Linked DNA regions of Caenorhabditis elegans. The protein of the gene in region 1 purifies or fractionates together with the protein of each later gene. This does not show direct contact. Each region holds a gene or a part of one and is shown in the gene's direction. Other genes may lie near its edges. The genes, in order: unc-24, Y54F10BM.3 and C09D4.2.

Region 1 (3,757 bases):
GGTTTAATTTAAGGTTTAATTTTTTAAATGCTACATACATTTTACCAAAATTCAAATATTCGAAATTGAAAAATCCAACCTAAATTTAAATTTCGTTTTATGCTCAAGAAATTTCATAGAAGTTTCTACTTTAATCAGCCGCTAAGTGCAAATTAATGAACTGTATTTCCTATTTTAATAGCCATATAAAACTCCGTCTCAAACTACAAACATTCCAGCGTCCACCACCACCATGCGGACTTCCACCATTCCTTGAGGATCTTCCTTCTGATGTTCAAACCAAGATAACTGAAATCTGGAAAGATTACAAAGAAGGAGACAAGTGTTATGAAGAACAAGGATTAACTCGTGAAATCATGGAATCTCTTCCAAAGGATGTTCGTAAGAGCATTCACAAGAGACCACCACTTCCATTCCTTCGTGGACTTCCAAAGGACATCCTTGCCAAGTTTGATGCTATTTTCAAGGATAAGTCAATCCCATTCAGTGAGAAGCCAGAGAAGATTGATGCTCTCGCTCAAGAAGTTCTTACTGGAGATAACTTGAAGAAATTCCAAGAATTCAAAGAGAAAAAGGAGAAGGAAATGCAAGAGTACAAAGACAAGGTAAGAATAAAAAAAAAGATTTTTACTCAAAAGGATGTTGAATATCATTCTTTCAGGAATCGAAGCTCTCCGCAGCTGCCAAGGTAGCCAACGAGAAGCTTGAAGCTCTCGGAAAACAAAAGTTTGCAATCCTCGAAGAACTTGATGAGAACGTGAAGGATGAGCTTTTCGATTTGTGGAAGAGCCGTCCTCATGGACCACCAAGACATCACTAGACGATAATTTGACAGCGATTTTTGTAAATATCTATGACAGAATTTTATTCATTCCCGATTTCCCGATCACTTTTAATTTATATTGAAAAATACATATATTTAAGATTGAATAATAAAGATTTCTATAAAAACTTTTGTGTACAAATAATAATTGGTTCCCAAATCTAAAGATGGAATAGTAAAGATATTATTAAAATATACGTAAATTGGGCGAAAAACATTCTGAATTTTTAAATTTTCAAATGTTTAAAACATGGTTTTGATAAATTTCCAAATTTTCCAAAGTGTTTGAATTTTTGAGCTAAAACTCAAGAATTGCTCCAAACTTAAACCTACAATGTGTAAATACAAATTTCAAAAAAGCTACTTTTTTTGGTCGACTTCCAAAACGTTGGCAGGTACAACTGAGTTTCTACCATATTCAGACTGTGAAATAATTTCAATTTTTGAAAAGTTTTACTATGATATTTGTTCATTTTAGCACGATAGGAGTGGTTTTAAAGTTTTCCCCACCGCGCGGTGCACCGCCAATACTTTACCTTGAGAATTTAATTAAAATGTAAAACTCGTAGAACATACTTGTTGACTTCCAAAACTATAATAGATTAAAACTGTGTGCATACACTTTTTCATGTAAATAAAACACTACCGCCTACCTTTAAAAAAATTTAAATTACAAAGTCTTCAATTTTGACTTCAACAATTTCCAACCTAACCCCTAAATTTTCTCATCGTATTCTTGGTTTGTAATGTGTGACAGACACCCTACCATTATCTGTGTATGAGTCTTTTGGGACACTCTTCTATCCAATGTCATCCGTCCTCTCAAATGCAAAAATAAATGCATTTGTGCTCACGGAGCCAAAGAATCGATGTGTGGTCCCGGACGCCAGAGACGCAGACATTCGAAACGACTAAAGCAGATGCTCAGTGTTAGAGCTCTTCGTCTCTTTCTCACACAACTACTTCATCTTTCTCTTGCTCCATTCAATATGACGTTCTCTTCTTCGTACAAATATTCGGCGCTGGCGCAAAACGATCCAGAGGCACCAGAAGAATTAGAAATGAACAGTCTTGAAGGATATTCTGCAGTCGATTTTGGTGATCCAAGTCAAAGTGTAATGGAATATGGAATGCCTGAAGGTTCATATGATTCCGTTTTTACATATGCTCCTTACAACGATCTCGATAAAATGGGATATATGGGTCCAGCAAGGTAATTTTTCAACAAAAAAACTAATTAACTTTGATATAGATGAAAAATTAAAATTTTCCAATGTTATCTTTCAGTTAAAATGGAATTAAAGTTTTATTAAATATTTTAAGAATTATAATTTAGCGATTAACTTAATTTTCATAAAAGTGTTTTACAACATGCATATGAACAATAAGAATCACTATTCAATAATTTTTCAGGCAAGGAATGATGCTGGGAAATAAATACGGAAACTTCACATACACAAGAGATTATGGTGTTAATATGGAAGACGATGTGAGTTTTTATTTAATAAATTAAATTTTGGTTTTCTTTATCAAAACTTAATGTGAAATTGAGCCATTTAGGAAATTATTTGATAGTAAAACTTTGAATTGGTTTTTTTGAAATATTTTTATTTTCAGTAAATAAAAAAGTTGAAATTACTCGGTTGTTGAAATTCGCCAAAAAATGTTCTACAATTACTATGATTTTTTTCCATCTGAGCATTGTAGGCATTTGAACAAGCAACAGTACTCTAAATTTCTTAAAAAGCATACATTTTTTGCAGATTTTGGCAAAATAGAAACCTTAACAAAAATGGAAATATCTAAACTAATTGAAACACACACGAGACAATTTAATTAAAATATACTTATGATATCTTAAACATGTTTTTTTTCAGATAAAACCCCTGAGCGCCATTGAACTGTTGATCTTCTGTGTTTCATTTTTGTTTGTTGTGATGACAATGCCCTTATCATTGCTTTTCGCGTTAAAGGTAGTAATTATAATTTTCTAGAGAACCGTTTCTCAAAATTTGCTTAATTTTTCAGTTCATCTCTACCAGTGAGAAATTGGTAGTTTTACGCCTGGGAAGAGCTCAGAAGACAAGAGGACCTGGTATAACTTTAGTTATTCCATGTATAGATACAACACATAAAGTAACAATGTCTATTACTGCGTTCAATGTCCCACCACTCCAGGTTAGCCTTGACAATATTTTGTCTAAAAAAAAATTTTAATTTACAGATAATAACCACAGATCGTGGTCTCGTGGAACTCGGGGCAACTGTTTTTCTAAAAATTAGAGATCCAATTGCAGCTGTTTGTGGAGTTCAAGATAGAAATGCATCAGTTCGAACATTGGCAAATACAATGCTATACAGATATATCAGCAAGAAACGGATCTGTGATGTAACCAGCTCACAAGATCGAAGAATAATTTCTGCTAATTTGAAGGATGAGCTGGGATCATTTACGTGTCAATTCGGAGTTGAAATCACTGACGTGGAAATTTCCGATGTGAAAATTGTGAAGGAAGGAGAGAACATGGGGATGTCTGCGTTGAGCAGCGTTGCGAAATCCGATGCTGGTCAACAGTTGTGGCAAGTTATTGGACCAGTATTCGAAGACTTTGCAAAGGAATGTGCAGCTGAAGAGAAAGCAAAAGAAAATGCACCATTAGTTGATTTGTCGGATGTTCCCTCAACTTCAGCTGCGGGAACTTCTACAGATACACCAAATATTCCTTCCATTGATATCGACCATCTTATATCTGTGGCAAGCCTAGCTATGGATGAACACTTAGTCCGTCTAATTGGCAGAGTTTTCCAAATTAATTGCAAAGATATTGAGCCCATTTGCATTGATTTGAAACATGGATCTGGAAGTGCGTATAAAGGAACTTCCTTAAATCCTGACGTGGTTTTTGAAACGAGTTTGGAAGTATTTGGAAAAAT
Region 2 (3,757 bases), on another chromosome or scaffold:
TTTTCAAGATTTTTGACTCAAATTTATTTTTATTAAAGCTCTAAATATTTTTCTATGAAATCTGACAATAAAATTTAAAACAATTTATAAAACTACAGTACCACAACACTTTTCGTGGCGGGATCCAAAAATTTAACAAAAATTTTTTTTTGATTTTTTTTCAAAACTCCATAACTTTGTCAATTTTTAAGATTTTGAGCTCAAATTTATTTTGAATAGCGCTCTAAATGATTTTCTTTAAAATCTAGTACAGTAATTCATAGCAACTCATAAAACTACAGTACCAAAAGACTTTTTAAGGCGGGACCCAAAAAATTTTGAAAAAATTTTTTTTTCAATTTTTTCAAAACTCCATAACTTTGCCAATTTTCAAGATTCTGAGCCTAGATTAGTTTTAAATAGTACCCTCAATATTTTTCCATAAAATATAACATAGGAATTTACAAGAACCCGTAAAACTACAGTACCCCATAACTTTCCGTGTAGAGACCCAAAAAATTTTTGTTTTTTTTTTTGAAAAATTGGAAAAAAATTTTCAAAATTTTTTTTTTCAAACTTAAATTAATTTTACTGATTTTGTTGAAGTTTTTCGCTATATTAAAATTGATTTTAAAAAATCTGCACCCATTGCTTAGGTGCAAAATGTATCCCTCTACCCCTTTTCAGGTACACTAAGAATTCAGCGAATTCAGATTTGCCAAACATCAAAACAATGGAATTTTTCATTGTTTCTCACGTGTAGCAACTGATAAAAACTGATAAAAGATATCAAAATTGATCCTATGACGTCATCATGTCTTATGACGAATTCCACCCCCCGCTGACTGTGAGAAAAGTATTTAAAAACTTGATTTTTCAAGTTTTTCCCTAAAAACTTTTTACACTTTCTCTATGTAAAAGTTCAAAAAAACATGCGAAAAACTACAGTAACCTTATTATTTTTGATATTTTTTATTCAAATTTCTGAAATTCTGACTCTACCTATCAATTATGGTGCATCGTTGAACTCTGTACACTCGGATGACCTGAGTGCTGAGGATTATCAAGTTTTGAGGAAAAATGAGACAAAAATTGAGTAAGTTCATTGATTTTTTGCTAATAGAAAGGTTTTTGAAATTTTGGAAAAATTAAAAAAAAAATTTTTTTGAAAAAAACTTGTTTAAAAATAATAATTCCGCCAAATTATCGATTTTTTTGGTCGAAATCTCAAGTTTTAAATGTTTTCTTTAATTTTATTGAATTCAGCGTCATTGATTACCCCTATCCCAAAATTTTGGGCCTTCTAGCTCAATTTTCAAGAATTGGCTGAGTAGCGACCCATTGCGATACGGAGTTTGGTCAGTTTTAGTGCAAATGGCTAAAAATTTAGGATTCTGGGTTTCCAAGTATGGCAAATTTAATGATAATGTTAGTTTTTCAAAACTATGACTCCGTATCGCAGTTCTGAGTCGCTACTCAGCCAAATTTCAAAATTTTGAGATTTTGAGCTAGAGCTCTGAAAACCTATAGATAAGGGTAATCAATCACGCTGAATCCAAAAATAACTTCTAAAACCAAAAATTTTAATTTTTTCCAGAAGAATCCACAGAATTCAGCAATTTTTCAAAGCGGAGCACCACGAATCCACGTGGCGAGACTCGATTTGCAGTGCATTCCACTCGTTTTCACTGTTCCCGCCAAACTGCTTTGCGGCTCCGCCAAACGACAAATAAATCGATATTATTGATTTATGAAATGACATGATTTTTTTCTACGACGCACAATAAATTTTTGTGATTTTCTGATTTTTTTTGATTTTTTTTTGGGTCTCGTCACGAAAAGTTGTGGGGTACTGTAGTTTTTACCGGAATTTCTAAAATTTTTATTTTATCTTTTACGTGGGTAGTTTTCGCACATTTTAAGCCAAAAATGAACAAAATATCTCAAAAACTAAAAAAGTTACAAAATTTTTAAAAAATTGAATAAAAACGTAAAAACTCAAAAATTGCCAAAAAACATTCCACGTCGGGAACCACGTCGTTTGATTTTCGAAAGTCGATAAATCGATATTGAAAAATTTATTTCACAATATTCAAGATGAAATTGTGGTCGATTTTATTGGTGACCATATCGATTTTTGGCATCTGCCACGTGGAACCATATGAGCTAAGTAAGTACGGGGGTTTGACGCCAAGATACGGTTCGATTCTACAAAATTATCGGATTTTTCGGGAAATTATCGATTTTCTTGAGAAATTATCGATTTTCTGGCGGAAATATCGATTTTCTTGCTAAATTATCGATTTTCTTGCGAAATTATCGATTTTTTCGCGAAATTATCGATTTTTTCGGGAAATATTGATTTTCGGGAAATTATCGATTTTCTGGCGAAATTACCGATTTTTCGCGAAATATTGATTTTTTCGCGAAATATTGATTTTCGGGAAATTATCGATTTTTTCGCGAAATTATCGATTTTTCGCGGAATTATTGATTTTCTGGCGAAATTATCGATTTTCTTGCGAAAATATCGATTTTCTTGCGAAATTATCGATTTTTGGCGAAATTATTGATTTTCTTGCCAAATTATCGATTTTTCGCGAAATTATTGATTTTCTTGCGAAATTATCGATTTTCTCACGTGTCGAAAAGTTGCCCTTATTTTTTATTTCTGTCAAGAATGCAATTTCAGGATTTAATATAGGAAGAGGCAGATTTTCTTGCGAAATTATCGATTTTTTCGCGAAATTATCGATTTTTTTCCCGAAATTATTGATTTTCCAGGAAATTATCGATTTTTAAAAAATTATCGATTTTTAAAAAATTATCGATTTTTAAAAAATTATCGATTTTTAAAAAATTATCGATTTTTTGCGTAATTACTGATTTTCGATAAATTATCGATTTTTTCGCGAAATTATCGATTTTTGATATTTTCGATGAACACGTGGAGTTTGTTATTTATTTCTTTTTGAAAATGACGTGGAGAGGACGGTAAAAAAAAGCCACGTGGCCATTGCGATTGCGAAATTATCGATTTTTGATAATTTATCGATTATTCGCGAAATTATCGATTTTTCAACAAAAATTTATTGATTTTTTCCAGGTTTCGTCGATTGGCCTACACCCGCCCCGCCGACCTCAACAACTCCACCAGTGTAAGTCTATCCGTTGTCCCGTTAGTTTATCCCGATGACCGCTCTTTTTCAGATCCTCAACCAAACCACCACCTGCTGAACAGTTTAATTCGCTGACCGACATTCTCGACCTAATTCCAATCGAAGTGTAAGTTGTGAAAATTTGACATCGATAATTGCTCGGCGGCGAAAAATTGGTTTTTTTTTTTCGAAAAATCGATAATCTATGTTGATTTTATTGATTTTTTTGGTCGGATTTTTGAAGAAAAATCAATAATTTTTATTGATTTTTTGTTCAAAAAATCGATAACTTGCGTCATTTCTTTTATCGAAAATCAGTAATTTCGCAAAAAAATCGATAATTTCGCAAGAAAATCAATAATTTCGCAAGAAAATCGATAATTTCGCGAAAAAATCGATAATTTCGCAAGAAAATCGATAATTTCGCAAGAAAATCGATAATTTCGCAAGAAAATCGATAATTTTGCAAGAAAATCGATAATTTTGCAAGAAAATCGATAATTTCGCGAAAAAAATCGATAATTTCGCGAAATTATCGATTTTCTTGCGAAAAAATCAATAATTTCACGAAAAAGTCGATAATTTCGCGAAAAAAATCGATAATTTCGAAAGAAAATCGA
Region 3 (3,757 bases), on another chromosome or scaffold:
CCACAATGGAGTTCATTTCTGTGATATCATTGATTATGTAAGTTATATCATAGACTATGAATTCATGGATTTTGGATTTTGGATTACAAAATCAAAAAAACGTATCAAACTTTAGGGAACCATCCGTCGTGAATACAACTACATGATAATCAGTATTCTTGGAAAAGATCTCTACCGTCTTCGTGCCGAACAACCGACTCGTTCATTCACTCTCAATACGACTACAAAGATTGCTCTTGAAACTATTGAAGCTATTGAAGAGCTTCACAATATTGGATACCTGAGCCGTGATGTCAAGCCAAGCAACTTTGCTCCAGGACAACGCGACAATGGACAGCATAAGACAATTTTCATGTTTGACTTTGGACTTGCGAAGAAGTTTATTGATCGTGATAACAAGAAGCTGAAGTCTCGTGGAGAGGTTGGATGGAGAGGTACTGTAAGATATGGAAGTCTCCAAGCACACAAACGTATGGATCTTGGAAGACGTGATGATGTTGAATGCTGGTTCTACATGCTCATTGAGATGTTGGTTGGAGAGTTGCCATGGCGTCATATGTCTGATCGTACACTTGTTGGACAATCGAAGCTCTCAATTCGAAATGAATCTCGTCGTTTGTTCTTCAATCGAACTCCAAGACAGTTTGAGACGATCATGGATATGATCGATGGATACTCATTCGAAATCAGACCAGAGTACAGACATTTGAAGGCATTGATTAATGAGGTAACTAAAATTAGTCTAGATGGATATTTTTAGTTAGATCCAAGCACTTTACTAATCACCTTTCTAATAAATTAGATAGTACCTAACGTTCCATATTCCTTACAATTAAACAATAATATGTTCTTTACTTTTCCAGATTCGTATGGAAAATATGATTCCTGATCGTTGCAAGTGGGACTGGCAAGTGGAAGAATCTCAACATTCGGAGCTCACCGAAACAGCTTCTGTCATGTCTGATATGGCAATTATGGCTGAACAAGGAGCTACTAACTACACTGATCGTGCCTGTGAGAGTATGTTTTATTGTTTTTATTTTCTATATCAAAATATACATTTTTCAGACCAATAGGCATATACTCGTCTCACAACTGTTCTTCATCACTACTCTTCTCATCAAATCTCGAATCGAATCGAGCACTTTCCAGTTCAATTTCCTCTTTCTCTCACTCTTTTCCAATCCAAAGTAAAGAACCGATTGCCTCTTTTTGTATTCATTATCATCATCGTCGTCGTTTGGTTTCAACTATACTACTAGATTTTTGTGCTGTGTAAATAAATGTATTTTTTTAAAAGTATTTTACATCTTATTGTAAGTTCCAACTATCACGGCGTTAGTTTCTTTCCCAAGTTTGGCAAATTGAATATTAACTTGGATTAGAAGTGGTTAAACCTGAGCCAAACTTTGGCAAAACATAGTCTCCTGGAATCTTCTAGAAGTGATATGTTGACGGAAAGTTGGATCAAACTTTGATTACACTTGAGTGAAGCGTGAACCAAGTTTTCCAACTTTCAATCTGAATTAATATTCTTTAAAATTGTGGTAGAGGAATCCGGCCTTGAAGGCAAGAATATAGCATGTCACTTTTCCAACTTTTTTCTTATTTTCTCAATTATTGAAATTTTAAAATGAAATTATAGTTATAGATGTAATTTGATATGCTTAATCCAATTATTATACTGATTTTTTGGTTAACAAGTTTGAAAATGTCTGGAAATCCCAGAATGAATGGATATCTCATAGCAGATTGGCACTGTACTCTTCTGAACAAATTGAATTTGTACCGAAGTTTCTTTTCTGATATTTTTTTTCGAGTAAAACAGGGGCAAAAATTAAGTTTTTCCAAACTTTTCAAGGATTTTAAAGCACTGCTGGATATTTCGATTGCGTGGATCTTAATAATTTTACAACATGTCGTACTCCACCTTTCAGCATTGGAAACCTATTTATTCAAGGAAATTAATAAACAAATTATTGTAATTTATGTTTACCGCATCAATCTTTACCATCGATTCAAGCTCATCATTCTAGCCAGTTGTCAAAAAAAACATATCCGCAGATGTTATCTTTGATTTATTTATTGGGAGAACATCTGGTTGTGTAACAGAGTCAACTGACCTTCTCCCTTTTCATTCGTCCAAATCTTCATTTCTTTTCCAAAATGCACCTCTTTCTTTCTGTTTTTCTTCTGCTTATCCTACCGTTAATTTCCACCTCAGCAGTTGAGAATAATCAAAATATTGTGGATTTTTCTGTGAAAGATTTCAACAAAAATATTAATTCAATCGATATTCTCAACAAAAAATGGGATATTGTTTCGAAATATGTGAAATTTAATGGAAACTCATCGAAATTGAATGGAAGACTCCGATTATCGGAAAAAATTGACAAAATCATTTTTAAATTGGGAGACGATGGAGCTAATCAGAGTAAGTTTTTTGAAATTTAAAAGTGGATTAGCGCCCTATGGTATGACTCCTATGATTCTAAAATGATAAATTTTCACAGTAAAACTTTGCGAAACTGGTTTGATATTTTTAATAACATTTAAAAATGGTATTGATTCAGTTCTCAACTGTTATAATTTTGGAATATTCGAATGTTCCAAAAAATTTATCTGAAAAAGTTCTGAAATCAAAAAAAAATTCTTCTACCAAATAGGCAAAATGTTTTCTACGACTTTTATATTTTAATCAAGTTAAGAAATATTTTTTGTTAAGAAAAATAGTGCAAGAACGTTCAAAATTTCCGAAAAAAAAACCGAGTTTATCGAAAATTTGGCAATTTGCCAAACTCTTACTGACTAGCAGCAATCCTCTTGTTTTCTAAAAATTTTAATTTTCAGATGAAATAATAGTTTCCTTGGGTAATAGAAATACAACTCATATGACTGTGCACACGGATTCATACAAAATGAAAGTATCCACTTCGAAGCAAGTTGTTCGGAAAGGTCTGTTGAAAAGGTTTTGAAAATTGTATTCTGTTTTACGTTGTTAACAAAGACAATTGCTCAAGCAGCCTCAAGCCAGCAAGCCAAAACAAAACTTTAAAAAACTGAAATTCGGAATGAGAAAAAAAAAATACATAAAGGCTAATTAAAATTGTAATAAACCTTTCCAGAACTGTCTCTGAGAACTGGTTCATCAAACGAGAACGGATGTGCTTGTGTACACGGAAATTGTGCTTGCTGCCTAGAAATTTCTGTTCCAGAATTCAGACATTCAGGTAATAGTTTTCCTTAAATTTTGTTTTCTTAATTTTCCAATACTTTTAATTCAGTTTGTGTCAATGCAACCTATAACCCAGTTTCCATTGGCTTGGATTTGTCGATTGGAGTTGATGGACATTATTTCAGTGAAGAAATATCTTGTATGTAAAGAACTTTAAGATGGAATACGCGGTCAAATGGGTTCCATATGAATATGTTTAAATAATTCTCAAATTCAGATATCCCACAAAAGGAATTCAGAAAAAGCGAGTTGAAACTACTAATCCAACTTTCAAACTCGCGAATTTCTAACTCTGCTAATTTTTTGCTATTTAAATATAAATTTCACAGAACTTTTGTTTCACATAAAAAAACAATTGTTAATAATTTTCAGTGAGAAACCCCCCACCAGTCTGTTTTTCTCTTCCGATTCCCGGCGCAGAGCACATTGCAGGAGTATGTGTGGCATTCACAAAGGTAAAATTGTTTCTGGTAACACGAAAATTCCAATTTTATTTATTCAGTTGGACTTGGACAAGAAGGA

Evidence for each region.
Region 2: the proteins of unc-24 (region 1) and Y54F10BM.3 fractionate together in Caenorhabditis elegans (co-fractionation; one large-scale study listed by BioGRID). This does not show direct contact.
Region 3: the proteins of unc-24 (region 1) and C09D4.2 fractionate together in Caenorhabditis elegans (co-fractionation; one large-scale study listed by BioGRID). This does not show direct contact.

What each region holds. Positions count from the first base shown.
Region 1 is NC_003282.8:7,978,071-7,981,827, forward strand, and holds the start of unc-24 (Band 7 domain-containing protein), read left to right. Parts: upstream 1-1,799; 5' UTR 1,800-1,812; coding exon 1,813-2,036; intron 2,037-2,228; exon of another isoform or gene 2,229-2,236; coding exon 2,237-2,312; intron 2,313-2,700; coding exon 2,701-2,796; intron 2,797-2,851; coding exon 2,852-3,001; intron 3,002-3,047; coding exon 3,048-3,212; intron 3,213-3,257; coding exon 3,258-3,757. Other genes in the region: ora-1 (Onchocerca Related Antigen family), read left to right, coding at 219-605, 662-820.
Region 2 is NC_003281.10:2,280,010-2,283,766, forward strand, and holds the start of Y54F10BM.3 (Tyrosine-protein phosphatase domain-containing protein), read left to right. Parts: upstream 1-2,015; 5' UTR 2,016-2,076; coding exon 2,077-2,149; intron 2,150-3,085; coding exon 3,086-3,137; intron 3,138-3,189; coding exon 3,190-3,264; intron 3,265-3,757. Other genes in the region: Y54F10BM.22 (Neuropeptide-Like Protein), read left to right, coding at 912-1,075, 1,577-1,712.
Region 3 is NC_003279.8:5,489,334-5,493,090, forward strand, and holds the start of C09D4.2 (DUF4773 domain-containing protein), read left to right. Parts: upstream 1-2,090; 5' UTR 2,091-2,166; coding exon 2,167-2,434; intron 2,435-2,850; coding exon 2,851-2,955; intron 2,956-3,125; coding exon 3,126-3,230; intron 3,231-3,284; coding exon 3,285-3,374; intron 3,375-3,607; coding exon 3,608-3,690; intron 3,691-3,737; coding exon 3,738-3,757. Other genes in the region: C09D4.3 (Protein kinase domain-containing protein), read left to right, coding at 1-37, 116-727, 864-1,020, 1,069-1,076.